Drosophila melanogaster: one gene and its partner. The protein of the gene in region 1 interacts with the protein of each later gene in a pairwise test. Each region holds a gene or a part of one and is shown in the gene's direction. Other genes may lie near its edges.

What was found.
Region 2: the proteins of CG18367 (region 1) and CG30183 interact in a two-hybrid assay, tested with the Drosophila melanogaster proteins (one large-scale study listed by BioGRID).

Annotation. Positions count from the first base shown.
Region 1 is NT_033778.4:19,633,268-19,640,345, forward strand, and holds CG18367 (uncharacterized protein), read left to right. Parts: upstream 1-3,392; coding exon 3,393-3,605; intron 3,606-3,962; coding exon 3,963-4,031; 3' UTR 4,032-4,133; downstream 4,134-7,078. Other genes in the region: CG42753 (uncharacterized protein), read left to right, coding at 2,140-2,394; CG43277 (uncharacterized protein), read left to right, coding at 4,450-4,602.
Region 2 is NT_033778.4:23,693,170-23,701,742, reverse strand, and holds the start of CG30183 (uncharacterized protein), read left to right. Parts: upstream 1-3,918; 5' UTR 3,919-4,067; coding exon 4,068-4,076; intron 4,077-4,134; coding exon 4,135-4,548; intron 4,549-4,601; coding exon 4,602-5,301; intron 5,302-5,477; coding exon 5,478-6,463; intron 6,464-6,510; exon of another isoform or gene 6,511-6,560; coding exon of another isoform or gene 6,561-7,625; exon of another isoform or gene 7,626-7,740; intron 7,741-8,011; coding exon 8,012-8,573. Other genes in the region: sigmar (salivary glands marred), read left to right, coding at 879-942, 1,153-1,445, 1,503-1,778; mRpL43 (mitochondrial ribosomal protein L43), read right to left, coding at 2,814-3,148, 3,214-3,320, 3,383-3,519; angel, read right to left, coding at 6,561-7,625.

The DNA of each region.
Region 1 (7,078 bases):
TGGTGCTCCATAAAGTATACTTGATGACGGCTAACGGAATCGCATTAGGATGTTCGAATTGGGAATACTATGTTATTTAAAGACTTTTCGCAGATTTTATTGGCCAAATAAATGTTGACCATTTTACAAGTCATAAGTGAGGTAAATCTGTTTAAGGGTCGCTAAGTAAGTGGCCTTTTCTGGCTGCCAACTTTCACTTGATTCCCGATCGCAGCATACCACCCCCTCTTTAAGACTCCTTTAATGCTCGCGCACGCAATGTGTCCCCCAGCAGGATGCATCCTGGGAGCGCCAGCTCCCGCTTCTCGGAAGGCCGATAAGCCGACGCTATCAACGCCTTACATCCGCGCGTGTCTGGGCAATGGGTTTACCCCTGCCCACCGCATCGCGCATCCTTAGCTCCACCCGCTTCCAGCATCCTGCATCCGCTTCCGCTGCATCTGCCGGAGCTTGCTATCCTGCTTTAGCCAGATTTACAACCAAGCGAACTTCGCAAATTCCGTTGCTGCACGGAGATAAAATCGTTATGCTTATGCAAATTTTATAAGCAATTGTAGGGTTTAGAAATGTATTTATAGTTTTTTTTAAAAGCTATTTTTGGTGTCGAGTAAGTGTCATCAGTATTTGGAATTATTACATCTTTTGGCTTAAGTACTGACCAAATCTTTGCATTTTTTAAGGTGTGTGAGAGTGTGTGCTAAGCTGCGGCCCCGCCGGAAAGTGAAATGCTTATGAAAGCGTCCGGCTGCCCCAGCCACCCAGCTATTTGACCTTCTTTGGCGCATTTGCCATGCAAAATTTAATATATAACCGTAAGTGAGCTTGGATTCCTGCTAATTTGCCAGTTGAAGTATGCTCGAAAAGGAAGTCCCAGGGATGCGGGCTGCAAAGTATGTGTGGATATCCTCTTTTCCGGCTCTTAGCCCTTACAGATTCTAGTGTTCCAAAAAAAAAGATAAACAATGAAGTCTTGACCCAGTTCGGAGTTGCTTTTTGCGCTGCCCGCTGTCATCATCATCTATGTGGTGTGGGTGGTGCCAAATCCACCAACTTTACATACAAAAACGGACGCTTACCAAAATTGAGACAGCTACCGGGAATACATGGTGGTACGAGCTAACCCGATACATTTTCTTTAGATTTTTTCCTTTTTCTTTTTTTTTTTTTTGGGTTGGTTGATATAGGGCAAAGTGCAGTCAGACAGTCATTGGATCATTTGTCTTGGCATTGTTGCTTTTTCCTCTACATTTCTTTTTTGGTCGTTCGTTTTTATATAAAGCTGCGGGTCTTTCTTCAGGCATTTCAGTTCAAAGGGTCAGATAAAGAAAGGATTCGGCATTGTAATATTTTAAGTTAAAAATCTATTTATGCAAAGTAAAAAGAATCCAAACTAGTACACAAGCAGCTGCCTAATTTCCAAATAATTTCGCATTTTCATTGTATGATGCAATATCATGCTTATTCAGTTGCATTTTAATGTCTATAGCTCTTACAATGTTCAGTATATGTATTTTTAGGGTGCAAAGTGCGTATATAAATAAGCTATGTGTACAGTCATTTAATAAAGTCTTTAAAGTTTTAAAAAAATGGGCAGAACCATTATATTCTTTTAAATAAGAATTTATACACATGTATCAAAATCAATTGGTATTATTTGTAATTAACTGTTTTTGTTTAAACCTCTTAGTTGTGCACCATTGTTTCCGTTCACCAAACATTAAAGCAAGGCTAATAAAAATATGAAATTATATAATATCAGAGTTTTATCACTTTTTTTGTTGCCAATTAGCAGACAATGCATTCGTTAACTCCTTTGTAATCTGGCCGTAGGGTGCTGCATTTCCCCCAGATTTTCCATTTTAAAGCATTTTCAGCCGAAATGACGCTCTCGAAACGGCCCACACAGATACACCATCACACTCACACACACGAATTTTGCTGGAAGGGAGAAAAAAAGTTACGAAAGCAAACAGAATCACTGAACCCTGACTGGAGCTGAATGTTCAGAGCAAATGAAGGTGTCAAAATGACAAGCAGAGACAGCTAACAAAAAAAAAAAAGGGAAACGAAGGATGCACACACTTACACACACATAGACATACACTGGAATCCAAGAGGAGTGGGCAGGACGTGCGATGGATGGATGTCCGCCTTTCTCGCCGCCCACTTTTGAAGCCGCCCTTTCCGCCTGTTAGCCCGGCTAACTGTGTAAATGGCAAAGCGACAGCAGCATTTGCTAACTTTGCTGCAGCAGCAACAAAGGCCAAGGCACAGCCCCAACAAAAACTACATAAATGTATCTATATCTATATCTATCTAAGCGATGGCCGTGCATTGTATTGCAGTTACGTGCTCGATGGTCCAGCAAAATGGCGAGGCGAAAAAAATCTCTGAAACAAAATCAACAAAGAAGCACCAAGAACAGCAGGGGTCTTCTCGTTTGAAAAGTCTTGAATACACTTTTCGTATAAACATTTAAGAAGCACTTCTCCTTATAGTCAGAACATATGTAAAAATTTACATTTATATAGCTGGTATTGCTGAAAACAGTCGGAATATCTGCTTGAGTAAAAAGATTTAAAATCAAAATTTTTGTAATTTTAGGATAGTATTTATTTATACTTGTGTTTAGGCAAAAACCCACATTATTGCATAATAAAAATAAATTTTTCTCAAAGCATGTATGTAAAAAGTGGGCACACCAATCAGCTAAATGCTAGAGTATCTCCGATAGAATAGAGCCAGCAAAACAGCTTAAAGACTTTGGCTGTGCCAACTGCTTACTCACTTGCCAAATTCGCAAAGCGGATTTAGCTTGTAGCCAAACTTTAAATGAGTTCAAGCAGATTTTGAGCGCCCATCGAGCTCCAACATCGCCCCCGTTTCCAGTTACGCCCCCGCCCCCCATTGATGACTGTACTTCTGGCGCTGATGAAGCATAATGATGATGGCTTTGCCTGATTGATTGATTGATAGCTGAAGGATTGGTCGCGAGCGCTGGGATGGTGCCCCCTCAATTTGCACTTGAAACTTAAGCGCACGGCCGGCCGCGAATGAATTCCTAACAAGAAGAAATTCAGATTGCTCATACGCCGCGTCAGCCGTCGTGCGGTGTATAATTTTAGACCATCAACGATGCACCACATATAGCACCCCCACCTTCGGCTCACTCCCCCCTCGCGGTACGACCAATTAATTTCGTTCAAATAATTATGAATGTTGGAATATTTTTTGTACACAATATTTGTATGTAGCATTGGGGCAACGAGCGCCGCTTTTTTACGACGACCGTGAGCCGGAAGTGCTAGCGAAAACTGTCGCACCAGCGATGCCAGTGGGCACATGGCACATGGCATTTTCGATCTCCCTCGGCGGCGCCAGTTGCATTCGGAATGGATCAGTGGACGGGTGTGCACCGGGCGTTCGTCATACGCGCCTACTACAAGAGCAATGACTCCATCAGCACCGCCCAGCGGCTCTTCAAGAAGCAGTTCAGCATTTACCAAACGCCGCCGACGAATGTCATCAAGTCATGGCTGAGACACTTCGAGAGCACAGGATCCTCGCAAGGAGGTTGTGGAGGATATGCACGATCCTCGCTGCCTGTAAGTGAAGTATTCAGACCCAGTAAGGGGAATAGAGATGAACTGTAACGCTCCAAAAGTATAAAGTTGTAGGCTATACTTTTTTTTTAATGATTTGTTCTATAAATATTGAATTCAAGTCTTTAACTGTAAATGATTCGGACTATTAATTAAAGATTCTCTGATAAATCTATAAGAACTTTAAAGACGTGGTGCATATAGTTCGACTTCATTCAGCAAGTAAAAAGAAAGGAACGCTCGGTACATCTTACTAGCAAATGGAATACCTTATGTGGTCTAGCCCCTACTAGTTATTTAATTTTATAATTTCTTTGGTCAAATTTGTTTCCCATTAAAAGGCAATTTGTATCATTCCAGCAAATCTTCTGTACCATTTGCAATCAGTGCCTGAGTAATGAGAAGAACTTTAGCAGCTCCGTGAAGTGAATATGCACATGGGGCATAAGTTAATCTGTTTATCGTAAATAAGTTAGTGTGTATGGTTCGCAAATAAATTTCTTGGCTAATTAACAAGCTTGCCAAATCAACACATCTGCCCGCTGGCTGGCTGTCTTGACCCACTTGCTCGTTTGCATTTCTGAAAAATGTATACGCAAAAACCAAAATCAGAAATTCTTTTGAGCAAGTGTGTCATGAAATTGCCATTCGTTTCTGCTCTATATACCTGGGCAGCAGATAAAACAAATATTTTCCAAGTATACCAACCGACGGGGGTGTACACATCACGTCAACGCCGCAAATTGGTAAGTAATCCAGCCAGATTAAATCGAAATTCATTGCCATTCCCGCCACAATTCTCCCGATCCATTAGGTTCGTTCCGCTGCAAATTTTTCAGGCTCTAATATGTCACCTTGGTCACAGCTGAAACCGATGGAGTGGTGTAAGGCCGTTTACAGGGACTATCATTCCTGGTCATTCGTCAAGTGTTCCCTGGCATTCTGTGCCGGTGTCCTCCTGGTCCGAAGCCTCGATGGAAAGTTGCCGGCCAGCAGCTAGAAACCCGAAATTTAGACCTATAACTAATTGAATATAGGATCATATTGCCAGTCATCTAACCAAATTGTCGTCGACGAAGGAGCGAAAGAAATCAGGATGACTCAAACGCTTTAAATTTAGCTGGTATATTCGTTTACTTGTTGACTTAAATAAAACAACAAAAATTAAGTTCACAAGTTTATAGTTTTTTAAAAATTTGACCAAAAACAAATCATGGCAGCTGGAATCTAAAATAAATATGAAATCGACGAGCGTCGTACACTGTGCCAAATTTCCATTGATTGGCATGCAATTTTAAATTAACTTTAAGAATACTTTCCATTTTTTTTTATAATAAACAAGCCTTTGCTTCATGGACTTTAGCTCATCCTTAGTGGCCTTTGTGACTTTCATTTGGTTTATGACACAACTCAAGTCCTTGCGACCAATCAAAGTCTGAGTTGTCAGCTTTTGGCAAAAAGTAAATCTCATATTAGCCATTTTCCGGATGCCATGTTTACTCCGGCACCTTGCTGAAAATGTCCACTTTGGGGGAATATCATCGAGCTGTCATGTTACTTTGAGTAAAAAACCATGTGTGAGGCCTGTTGACAGGCAAGTTGGAGCCGGATGATTCCACAAAATGATACATACGCCCATCCTACTTAGAGATTACAATCGGAAAATGCGCATAAGGTTTTACATTCTGCCCGTTTTTGGCATTAGTTTGAGATATGTGTGTCGGGAAGGCATCCGGCCCCGCGGCAAAGAAAATAAAATTAGGCGTCGCTTTTTGCCATAAACATAAAAATTGTTCCTGCATCCTCAGGAAGCTGTCTTACCAGGGGGCAGAACATCCATAGCCACCAGCGATTCCTTGGTATCATAATTTCGAAATGACAGGTAATTTGGGAGCAGCAAAAGGAACAGGAAGTGGAAGTGGCATCTCGATGGTTCTGGGGCAGGGGATCGTGCGAAGTGCGAGCACCAAATGGGAAAATGATGCGGGTTTATTAAGTATCGTTACTCAAGAGGAAAACCTGCCCAGATACCCCGAACCAAATCCCTCTCAACAAATTTATGATGCGCCATTTTCAAAAAAGTACCTGTACCCCCTTTAAAAAAAAAATGCAGAAAAATGTATATTGTAAATATACTCGAGATGTAATAGTGGGGGGTGCCACGTTACTTACCTTCTTCAACTGGCAGCCACCTAGTGATTTAAGCTCGGCAAAAAATGCTGCCGCACATGAACATGCAACTAATGAGCTGAGTTATTTCCAGTGGGCTGGTGGGGCAGAAGTTACCAGGTTTCTGGAACACGCCACGGGAGCTCAGCTCTTCCGGTGCGGGTGGTTTAAACTCTAATTGAAATTTAGATAGCTGCTACGTGTGCCAGCCGGAAAATCATCGCCAGGTGTCACGGTAGGTGATGAGTTAAACAGCCGGAATGGCGAAATGCGTGCGGAAATTGGCCCCGGAATGCCAAAGGATCAAGTGTCGACACCAAAAGAATTTCCAGGTCAAAACGCTGGGCTGGAGATGGAATGCAATTAAGACAAAGCTCTGAAATTTATTATACGTCTTTAAAAACAGTCAATCTTAAACTGTAATGAAATTAAAGGTACAATGCATCTTAATAACAACCCATGTTAGAAATGTTAGAATTGCTTCTCTTATCAGAGTCCCGAAAATATGAGTTTAATGTGCTTTATTTAAGGAAAAACTAGCGTTTAGCTTGGTAGCTTATATTTGTGTTATTGAAGTAATTACAATATCAAGATGATTTCAGTTCACTAACAAGTATGTATGAAGGAATTATCTGGCATTTCTGAGGCCATATTTCATTATGGAGAGCCCTGCAGCTCGTTTAAGATTTGGCTATTAAAAACGGCGCCATTGATGCGAATATTTATTGTGGCCTGGCTTTTTCATAATGTTGGATTATCTAGGCACATGTCCTGCCAGGATTTATGAGCCAGGAATAGCACACAAGAGGTTGAGAGCGACGCTGCGGGAGGGTTGGCCAAAACCAAAACCAAGAGTCAGCTTTAAGCCGTAAGGAAATTGAAATCTTAAGCTTTATTGTTTTACTGGCCCCTCGTCTTTGCCATTCAGCTGAGGATCTGTGTGTGCTCGACGCGACGCATGCAAAGTGAAGCAGGAAAGTGAATAAAACTGCAGCAAAAGCAATTTTCATAAATATTTAATGGATAATGGCGAAAATAAGCGCAAGGAGCAAGACACATCGGCATGATGAGAGGGCAGGGAAATGGCCGTCCGTCTGCTTCTACCCATTCCCACTACCATTTTCCGCACCATCTCCGTTCTCGATGTATTGTTTTGTTTGTGTAGATATATATGTGCCCCTCTCATACAGGCACTTCACCCACCAACCCACCGTATTGATATGTCAGCATAACATATGTGGGCATTTCCCCGAGTGTGTGTTCGGCAATCTCAGCTTTTAGTTTCGGCCCAAGGCCCAGTGATTCTC
Region 2 (8,573 bases), 4.1 Mb from region 1:
AGCAACCAGGGATGCCCTGCTCCAGATTAGGCTTAGTCACGACTTCTAGTTAATACCTATGTGTGTCTGAACTCTGTTGACCCGCCAGCGGTTTCCTCCCCCCAGCACTCCGTCACCCAACTAGCTCTGATCGGGACTCCTTGTTTGGACAGTTGGAAGCACTGCCGCATTTCCATTTCGGGCTCCAGCACGTACGCCGCGCCGTTAGAACGACCTTATAGATACGGTCAGAGGGGCGCAGTTGGTCATCCATTATTAATACGGCAGCATTCCTATATCTGTGTGTGGAAAGCAGCAAAGTTGTGGAGCAGCGGAGCTCTAACTTTGACTGTACATTAAATTCCTTATATCAAATTTATTCGTTTTATGTTGTGTTTACGATGATAACCCAATTCGAATTCCCCAGAATGTCTTATTATCGTTAGATTCCTGTTTTGTTTGTTAAAAGCTTGTGACGAACACTCGATAAGAAATTATTCGTTACAAATAAAGTTGTGCGTACATTAATCGTTTTGTTTTGTTCTTTAAATAGAAATGTGACTTATGTTAGTTGATTCCATTTATTAGTCTAAACAGACTTCAGTCCTACAGGACTCTCCTCCAATGTTTCAGTTCCCAGCACTATAGGTAAAAGTAATTGCATTTGAGTGACTCATTGTAGTTAAACGTAGGCCACACAGACTGTTTTATTGCCCACTTCACGTAAAGCACAAAGAAACACAGAAGCACAGCGAAGAAAGAACCAGGTTTCCTTTATCTAAAGATACGGCGCTGATGTACATGGCCCAATCATTCATGTTTTTATATCTCTGTCTATAATTCCCTTATCAATGCTTGCAACTGGAATCGGTGTAATATATGTGTGATATATAGTCGCGATGTCGGTGGCCGGGCTTCGACAATGTCTGCTGCTGTGGAGCGTCGACTACTGGAACTTGGAAGGTAAACCGCGGAGAAGAGCGGAGCTGATTTGCTTTTCAGTTGCCACCATTCAGTGTTCAGTTTTAAGTTTTCCTTGGTTGCTGAGTTGTTGCTCCGTTTTGTTTGCTCGTACTGCTCGTATTTCTTTGCCACAATGCTTTAGTCAATGAATATGCAGCGATAATAATGTCTGAATCTGAATTCCAATCCCACCCCTCCCATCCGCTTTAGTCATGGCGGACAATGTCTTCAAGTCGCACGATATCGGGCTGCGGGCGCAGAAGAAGATCCTCTCACGCATGGCCACAAAAAACATCGCCAAGACCTTCATCGATGGCACGACGGCGTCGCTGCTGGACAACCTCTACAGGCTCTGCAAGATGCACACGGGGAACAAGGCCAAGGCGGAGAAGCTGATCAAGAACATCATCAAGATTGTGATCAAGATCGGTGTGCTCCACCGGAACAATCAGTTCAGCGACGAGGAGCTGCAGAAGGCGGAGCTCTTTAAGAGAAAGTTTCAAGTGAGTCTTAAATGCTACTCCTTAACTACATGTTATTATGATTTTTTTTTGTTGCAGAACACGCAGCTGTCCATCATATCATTCTACGAAGTGGACTTCACGTTCGACCTGCCGTACCTGCAAAAGTCAATAGCCGAATCGCAAGTGGCGCTGAAGTCGATTGTGCAGCCGCATCTCACAGAAAAGTCGCTGGGCCGCATCGACGAGGTGTTCGATTTCTTCGGCGAGGAGGCGCTGCTGGAGACGGCTTTCCGACCAGATTCCCCCTACCGCGAGGTGATGGGAAAGATTGTGGCGGACATAAACGCAGCCATGGAAACGGGAGATATCTGAGGAGATTCGCAAAGCGAGCTGAGCTGCAATTGCGTGCTATGAACGAAAGGCTATATATCGAAACCAAAAAGCAGCCAGTAGCTAGTTGCGAATGGAAAACGCTTGCTTAAAGCTCACCCACCAACACCACCACCACCACCATCACCACCAAAATACAAAATCTAGGTATAAATATGGGCCAGCAGCGGCAGAGATGAAGCAGAGCTGGGAAAGAATGGAAAAAAGACATGGGTTTAAGGAGAAGTTTAATTTAGTTCAACTAGTGATATAACATTGACAACAATATCAAAAGTGTAAAGACGTCCGTATTGATTATTTTGATGACAACGTTAACATTCGTGTACTCAAGGTCTATGTAGTAATAATTAGGAAGAACCAAATGCATTTCGCCAAAGGAATTCACTAAACGGAAATTGTAAACTCGAGCAAAATGCTTTTATCGGTGTGTAAGTTGATCGTTGATCGTACGTGTGAAAGTAACTATATGTACAATAGTTTTAAGTGTTAGATGGAAAATACTTCGGCACATAAGCAATTACTTATTCGTGGTCTACTTTTTGATACTCCCAAACTCGCTGTGTGCACCCGCAAGTAACTATATCAACGTCTTAGTCAGACCTTTGCGTACTTAACCGATCGCCGCCGATCGGAGCCACCCATCTCACCTGCAGTCGTTAGTCGATGCTAAGTTGGTTATGCTAAGTCGTCACCAGAACCTGTTTCTATTTCTATTCGTATTTGTATTCGTATTCGTATTCGTATTCCAAGCCTCCAAGGGGTCGGTAACCTTAAGCATTATTTATGATACTCCCACAATGATATTCCAACTACCCGAAACATATCGAAACTATCTGAAAGGCAACATAGCTAAGGGGACAATAAGTTGTTTGCATTTTTCTATGACTTTTGGTTCGATATTCCAGCGATGGAGGCACAAGTTTAGTGGTTTAGATTTTAAATATTTATTTGTTTACCAACAAAACTATGTTGACTATAAAAATAAAAGCAACAATTACCAAAAAGTCCTAATCCCTATCACTCGGCCCGCTTTTTGTTCAGCACGTCGTGTGCTTCCTCGCCAGCTTCCAGTTGCTGTTGCCGGAACAACTCGATGAGCTTCTCGGTGGCAGTTTGCGGCGTATCCAGCGGCTTTGACGCCTCGGCACTGGGGTAAGCCTGGCCTTGGGCATCCGGCGAACGCAGCAGGAATGGCGTCCACGGGCCTTGGATGGAGGGCACTTCGGTATGCCACATTTTCCGGAGTCGCAGGGAGCTGGAGCTGCCGTTTTGAGTCTTTAGCAGGTCAATCCACTTGGAGATCTCCTCTTGGGTGCTGTTCCTGCAGCTCATCCATTCGCGCTCGCCGTTCACTGGAACAGGATGACATATTTAAAGTGTATTCTAGGGAGCATCCTTATACATTATGTATACGTACAGTACTCTCCCACCAAAACTGGCGTGCGGTGGCGCCTGGGCTTCACATAGACCACAATCCCGGGATTCTCTTTGGCAAAGTCCAGCAAGTGATTCTCAATGAAGTCGCTATTGAACGTTTCGTATGATTAATTTTACTTTATATGTAAACATTTAAGGATTTTGCTTACCGCATGCCTCTGCTGGATCCATTATTCTTGCAGAACTTCAGGGTGATCCGCTGGAGCTGACAAACATAGCGTCCCAATCCATTTTGCAGGGGTGCACGGGGGAAGCCGGACTTCAAGAACAAGTGGCTGTTTGACATTCTGTATTTGTTTTTAATTCAAAACAATTTTTAACTATTTTTTACAATTCCAAATAAGAGACGACGTAATAGCATGCCGCAAACAGCTGATTCTCTCTGACCAGAGATGACGAGTTAGCTAGAAACATTATGTTTTATAGCTATAACCCCTATAACCCCAGCTTACATTGGAACATAATTAATCTCTAGCACATCCTCTTTTAAATATGAACCTATTCCGCGCTGAATTAAATAATAAATAGTAAAGCCCATTTGAACAATTGTATAAATAATAACAATTTCAAGCATATGAATATAGTGCTGCCTGAGTTATACCAGCCAATTGCCCAATCTCTGACGCAAGACAGGGCTGTTATGCACTCTCTCCTCTCTCTCTTTCGCTGATAAAGAAGAAGCGGCACAAAGCGGAAAACAAAAATGCAGGCGAGGCGTCGCTTTTCATTTGATTGGAAAAACACGAAGTAGAAGCGGAGTAGAAAGCGTGCAACGTGTAAAAGTGGAGCACATGCAGCTGGTCTAATCAGCTCCATAAATACATAGACTGCAAAATGGCCACCGTAAGCATTAAATCGCTATTTAATCACAAGTGCAAATGAACAGCATATTGGCCTCCAGACTTTTGTAGGCTCAAAGTTCTCCAAACATGTTCTAGTTGATGAAGAAGAGGGGGAGGAGGAGGAGGAGGATTCCGCCGAGTCTGGTTCCACATCGTCGTTCAGTTTGCAGGAGTGCATCGACGAGTTTAGGGCACGCCGCATTCGCCGTGTGTCCACTCAAAGTCGCGACTGCGAGACCAACAATAACCACATCAACATGTCCCGACAACTTCCCCGAGTCCGCAGAACCACGGATGCGGACCTAATCAACCAGAATCGCTGCAACAAGGAGCAGGAGCGCAAGGGGAAGCCGTGCCAGAACGGCTTCTGCTACTGCTTCACCAGCGACAGCGGAGACTGCGGCTCCACGGCACCGCCACGTGACCAGCACGTGCGACTACCAAGGCGCAGCAGGCGATCTGAGAGCGCCAAGGTAAGCCACTAACCAGCCCGCTACAGTTCCCTCATTAAACTCACATTTTACAGCCCGCCAAGCAGAACAATCTCGGTAGCCAGCGGCAGCAGGCGGAGAAACTTCGTCGAAGCGAGCCGGCCAGCATAAATTCTGGCTTGAAAACTCCCTTAACTGCTGTCAGTCGCTTGAGAGCCGTGGCCGGCGAGGATGAACCGCTTATACACATCATCCAGGAGCTGCACGACAACTGTGTGGTGTCCGAAGTGCGCGTGAACCGCCACAAACTGTCAGATTCTAGCTCCAGGTGCCGGCACAGGAGCACACAGAGAGAGCCTACTAAAATGCTTTCCTATGAGCCCATAGCCTATAAGCCCTCAGCTCCTGTTTTGTCTAACATCAGCGAACAGGAATCCGCTGTGGAGGAAGATCAGGAGAAAGAAGAGCTGGCCACCGAGCCGCCAAGTCGCAGGAGTTCCCGCTCTCGACGCAGTTCCGGAGCAGGTGGACGCCTGCTGCAGAAGCGCCTCTCGCAGGGTCAAGTCAGCTTCAAGGCACGGAACTCGCAGCTGCCGCCTCCGAAGCCGCCGCGTCGCAGCTCCCAAAGTCTGGACGGGAAGCTATCGCAATCCTCGCTCACCTCCACGAATCCTTCGGTGCGGGAGGCCGAGCGAGTGCTGGACGAGTTTCTGCGCAAACGTGGCGTTCAGGTGCCTACGAGCAAGCTGGAACCATCGCTCAAAAAAGACAGCAAGCGCAGATCGTTCCCCATGGGTAAGTTATACCCGTAAGCCCTAGAAAATGAAACCGTAACCAAATAGAAACTATTTTTACCAAAAATCAAATGTATTTACCAAATAAAGTGTTTTGTATCCAAACATTTGGCTTACGGTTTCATTAATTGGTTCCTTGGTTTTCGATGTTTTTACGAGCTTTGCGTCTTTCTTTAGCTGAGGTAGAGAAGCCCAGGCATCCCAGGAGCAACAAGCAACTGCCCACCTGCCCCTCGCTCAGTGACATTGAGCGCGTAGTGGAATCCAAGCGGGGCTCAAATTACGACCGGAATATTCGGCAGGAGAGTAGGCGGAAAGGAGCGCCCACCAAGGAGGTTATTCTTGGCTGGACAGAGCCCAAGATCACCGATATGCTCAACTACGAGGGCAAGACAGCCAGCGAGTTTAGGACACCGGCGGAACCGCAAGTAGCCATTGGATGGCAAATGCCTAAAGCACAGCCACAGCCCGTAGTGCCAAAGGTTTCCTTGGACACTGTTGACGGAAGTGTTTCCGAGAACCTGGCATCAAATATGGTGCACAAGGAGACGCCCATCAAGTATCCCAGTCGAGTTAACACGGCAGGAGGTCAGGCTAGCCAGAAGTTCATCTGGAGCGAGCAGTGGCGCAATCTATCTCCTTGGAAGGGTAACAAACCGAAGAACCTTGGAAAGAAGTCCAAGAACTTTCTGAACAACTCCAAAAAGAAGATCCTGCGCTTCGTCTCGCCGAAGAAGTCTAATCAGGAGGTGCACACGCAGCTGGATCAGCACAGATTCACTCCCCAGCAGTGCACCATTGGCGTACAGACATCTACCTCGCAGCTGGACCTGCAGTCACAGTCTCCGCCGGGAAGCTACCACTCCCCCATGCAGACCACGCCCTCGGGTACGACCACATCCACCCGCCAACAGCTGGACACAGAGCAGCCGTACTTCGATTTCGAACGCAAGGTGAAGGCACCGACGCCTCCGAAGAAGCTGCCCCGTGCAAACAGAGCCCGCAAGCTGGACTTTCAAGCAGCAGCAACATCACCCACCACCTATCGCTCGTATCACAAGGATCTCGACCAGGACGTCACCATCACTAAAATGGGCTATCTGCTCAGCAGCATCAGGGCCAAGCTGGAGGCTAGCGATGAGCACGCAGTTAGAACCTTTCAGGTGAGTCCCTTCCCTTAATCTTTTACTTTATAATAAGTGGGCATGTTCATTTCGTACCTTTATTGATGAGTCCAAGAAAGCATGAAGAGATTAAATACTAGACAACGGTGAATACTGCACCCAAGGCGTAGTGATCCGACCCCAGACGGTAATTGGGGATCTGTCCCGCCCCGATGCACCGGTTGATTGAGGGCAGTGAGTAGACGCTGAGAGGCAAGAGCTTGTGCCTGCTCCGCGATCCTAGCGAGCGCAGGATGTAGTCCACGATAACCCATTCGTTCTGGTATGTGGAGGCAGTACCTTCGCCCGAATCGATGATCTCGAAATGCAGGGGTTCTGGGCAAGCTGTGGAATCCACATCCCCATTCTTGCCAACGAGGAATTCAATAGGCGAGGAGTCGGGCAGACTGTTAAAGTCACCAGTCAGGACGATAGGTGTGTCGGTGGAGAACGACTGCAGCTCCTCCAAAATTCTTTCCACCTGGGCGCAACGGACATCGCTCCGTTTCGTGTTGAACAGCAAGTGCGTGGTGGCGACCACGAATTCCTTCTGCTGCTCCTGCTGCTTTTTGAATCGGAACCTGGCAAACAAGGCCACATTGTCGCGATTGAGTAGAGCCACCGCCTGGTCGTACAGCTCCACTGCTTGGTGGTCTAGCAACTCAAACTTTGAGGAGTCGTAGACAATAGCGCATCCGTCCGTTCGACAGCCGGTCTTCTTTTTGTACACATAAGCCAACTTCTTGCCGTTGCCCATACGCAGTCGTTGGACGAGCACTGGAAGGTGGTCGAACTGCATCTCCTGCAGGCACAGTATGTCCGGATCCAGTTTGAGCAGTTCCCTGAGAAGGTTCTGCTGGCGGCGTTGCCAGCTGAGGAACTCATGCGGGATTCCCACGTACAGGAAGAGGTGCTCCAGAAGCAGATCCTGGGCCAGGATGTTATATGAGACAACCTTGAAGGAGGAGCACTTGTGCGGGTCTCGACCCTCAGCCTGATTCCCCAATGACGTCCAGCGTCTATTCCGATCGTGGCTCGACTCCATCTCCTTCGCTTTTTGTTTGCGCTTTCCGCTGGCTCCTTTTGCCTGGCTGCTCACGCTGCGCCTGATAATCCTTGATGTCGCCTTGAGTGAAACGTTGTGCAGCAGAGACCTGTACATCTCACCAGGTGCGCCTCCCCATAAGCCCGAGCTCCTGGTCCCCTTGAAAGCCTCTTGTTTCTTTAGTGTTTTTGGATGGCGTCTGAATTTCCGAGTGGAGGAAAGAAATCTGCTGCTGTCAGCTGTTTTCACTTCTTGTTTTGCGCCTTCCTTCGCTGGGCTGCATTGCAGCTGATATCGATAACGGGGCGGTACTCGGTCTATCGAAATTTAAAAAAGTGTATCTCGAAGTAGCATTGCAAGATTCGTTCTTACTAACTTTCTGGTCAAATAGATTTAGTTAATCATTGGTTTATTGATCCAAGTAATAAGGCTCTTCTTTTATAAATATATCGTTAATATGGTTTGTATTTCAATAATAAGAGTATAATTTCAATCGATTGCAGGACTGCTCCCGCTTTGACCGCCATGAGCCTCAGATCAGCCATCTTCAAACCGAGAGCTACGACTGCACAGACGGACCCAGCAGTGGTGCAACCACATCGTTGGCCACCACACGGCAACAGCGCGATTTCGACAGCGAGCCCATTTACTCGGAGATTGAGGAAGACTGCCTGCGGATTAGAGGGAGTCCCCACCACGAGGTTAGGACCGCGGCACAGATTATAGACCACACGCCGACTCCTACGGAAAGCTCCACCGCGTATGTGAGTGGGTCTGTGCCTGCTCCGTCGACCTCGCGCGATGACATCAGTGCCATGTACGCCAGGGTGCAAAAGACGCCGAAGAACTCACCGCAAATGAAGCCAGTGGATAAGCCTCAGATTAGTTTCCAAGCTATTCAGCCACAGAAAAGTACTCATTCCTTTTCGCCGCCTATAACAACACATATTGTTCTTGATCAGGCGGTACAACCTAAAAGCTGCACCCAGTCGAATCCAGCGCAGCTAAGCACCCAGATGGTTTCACCACAATCAACTGCTCCTCAGCAGCCTGTAGCTTTGGGTC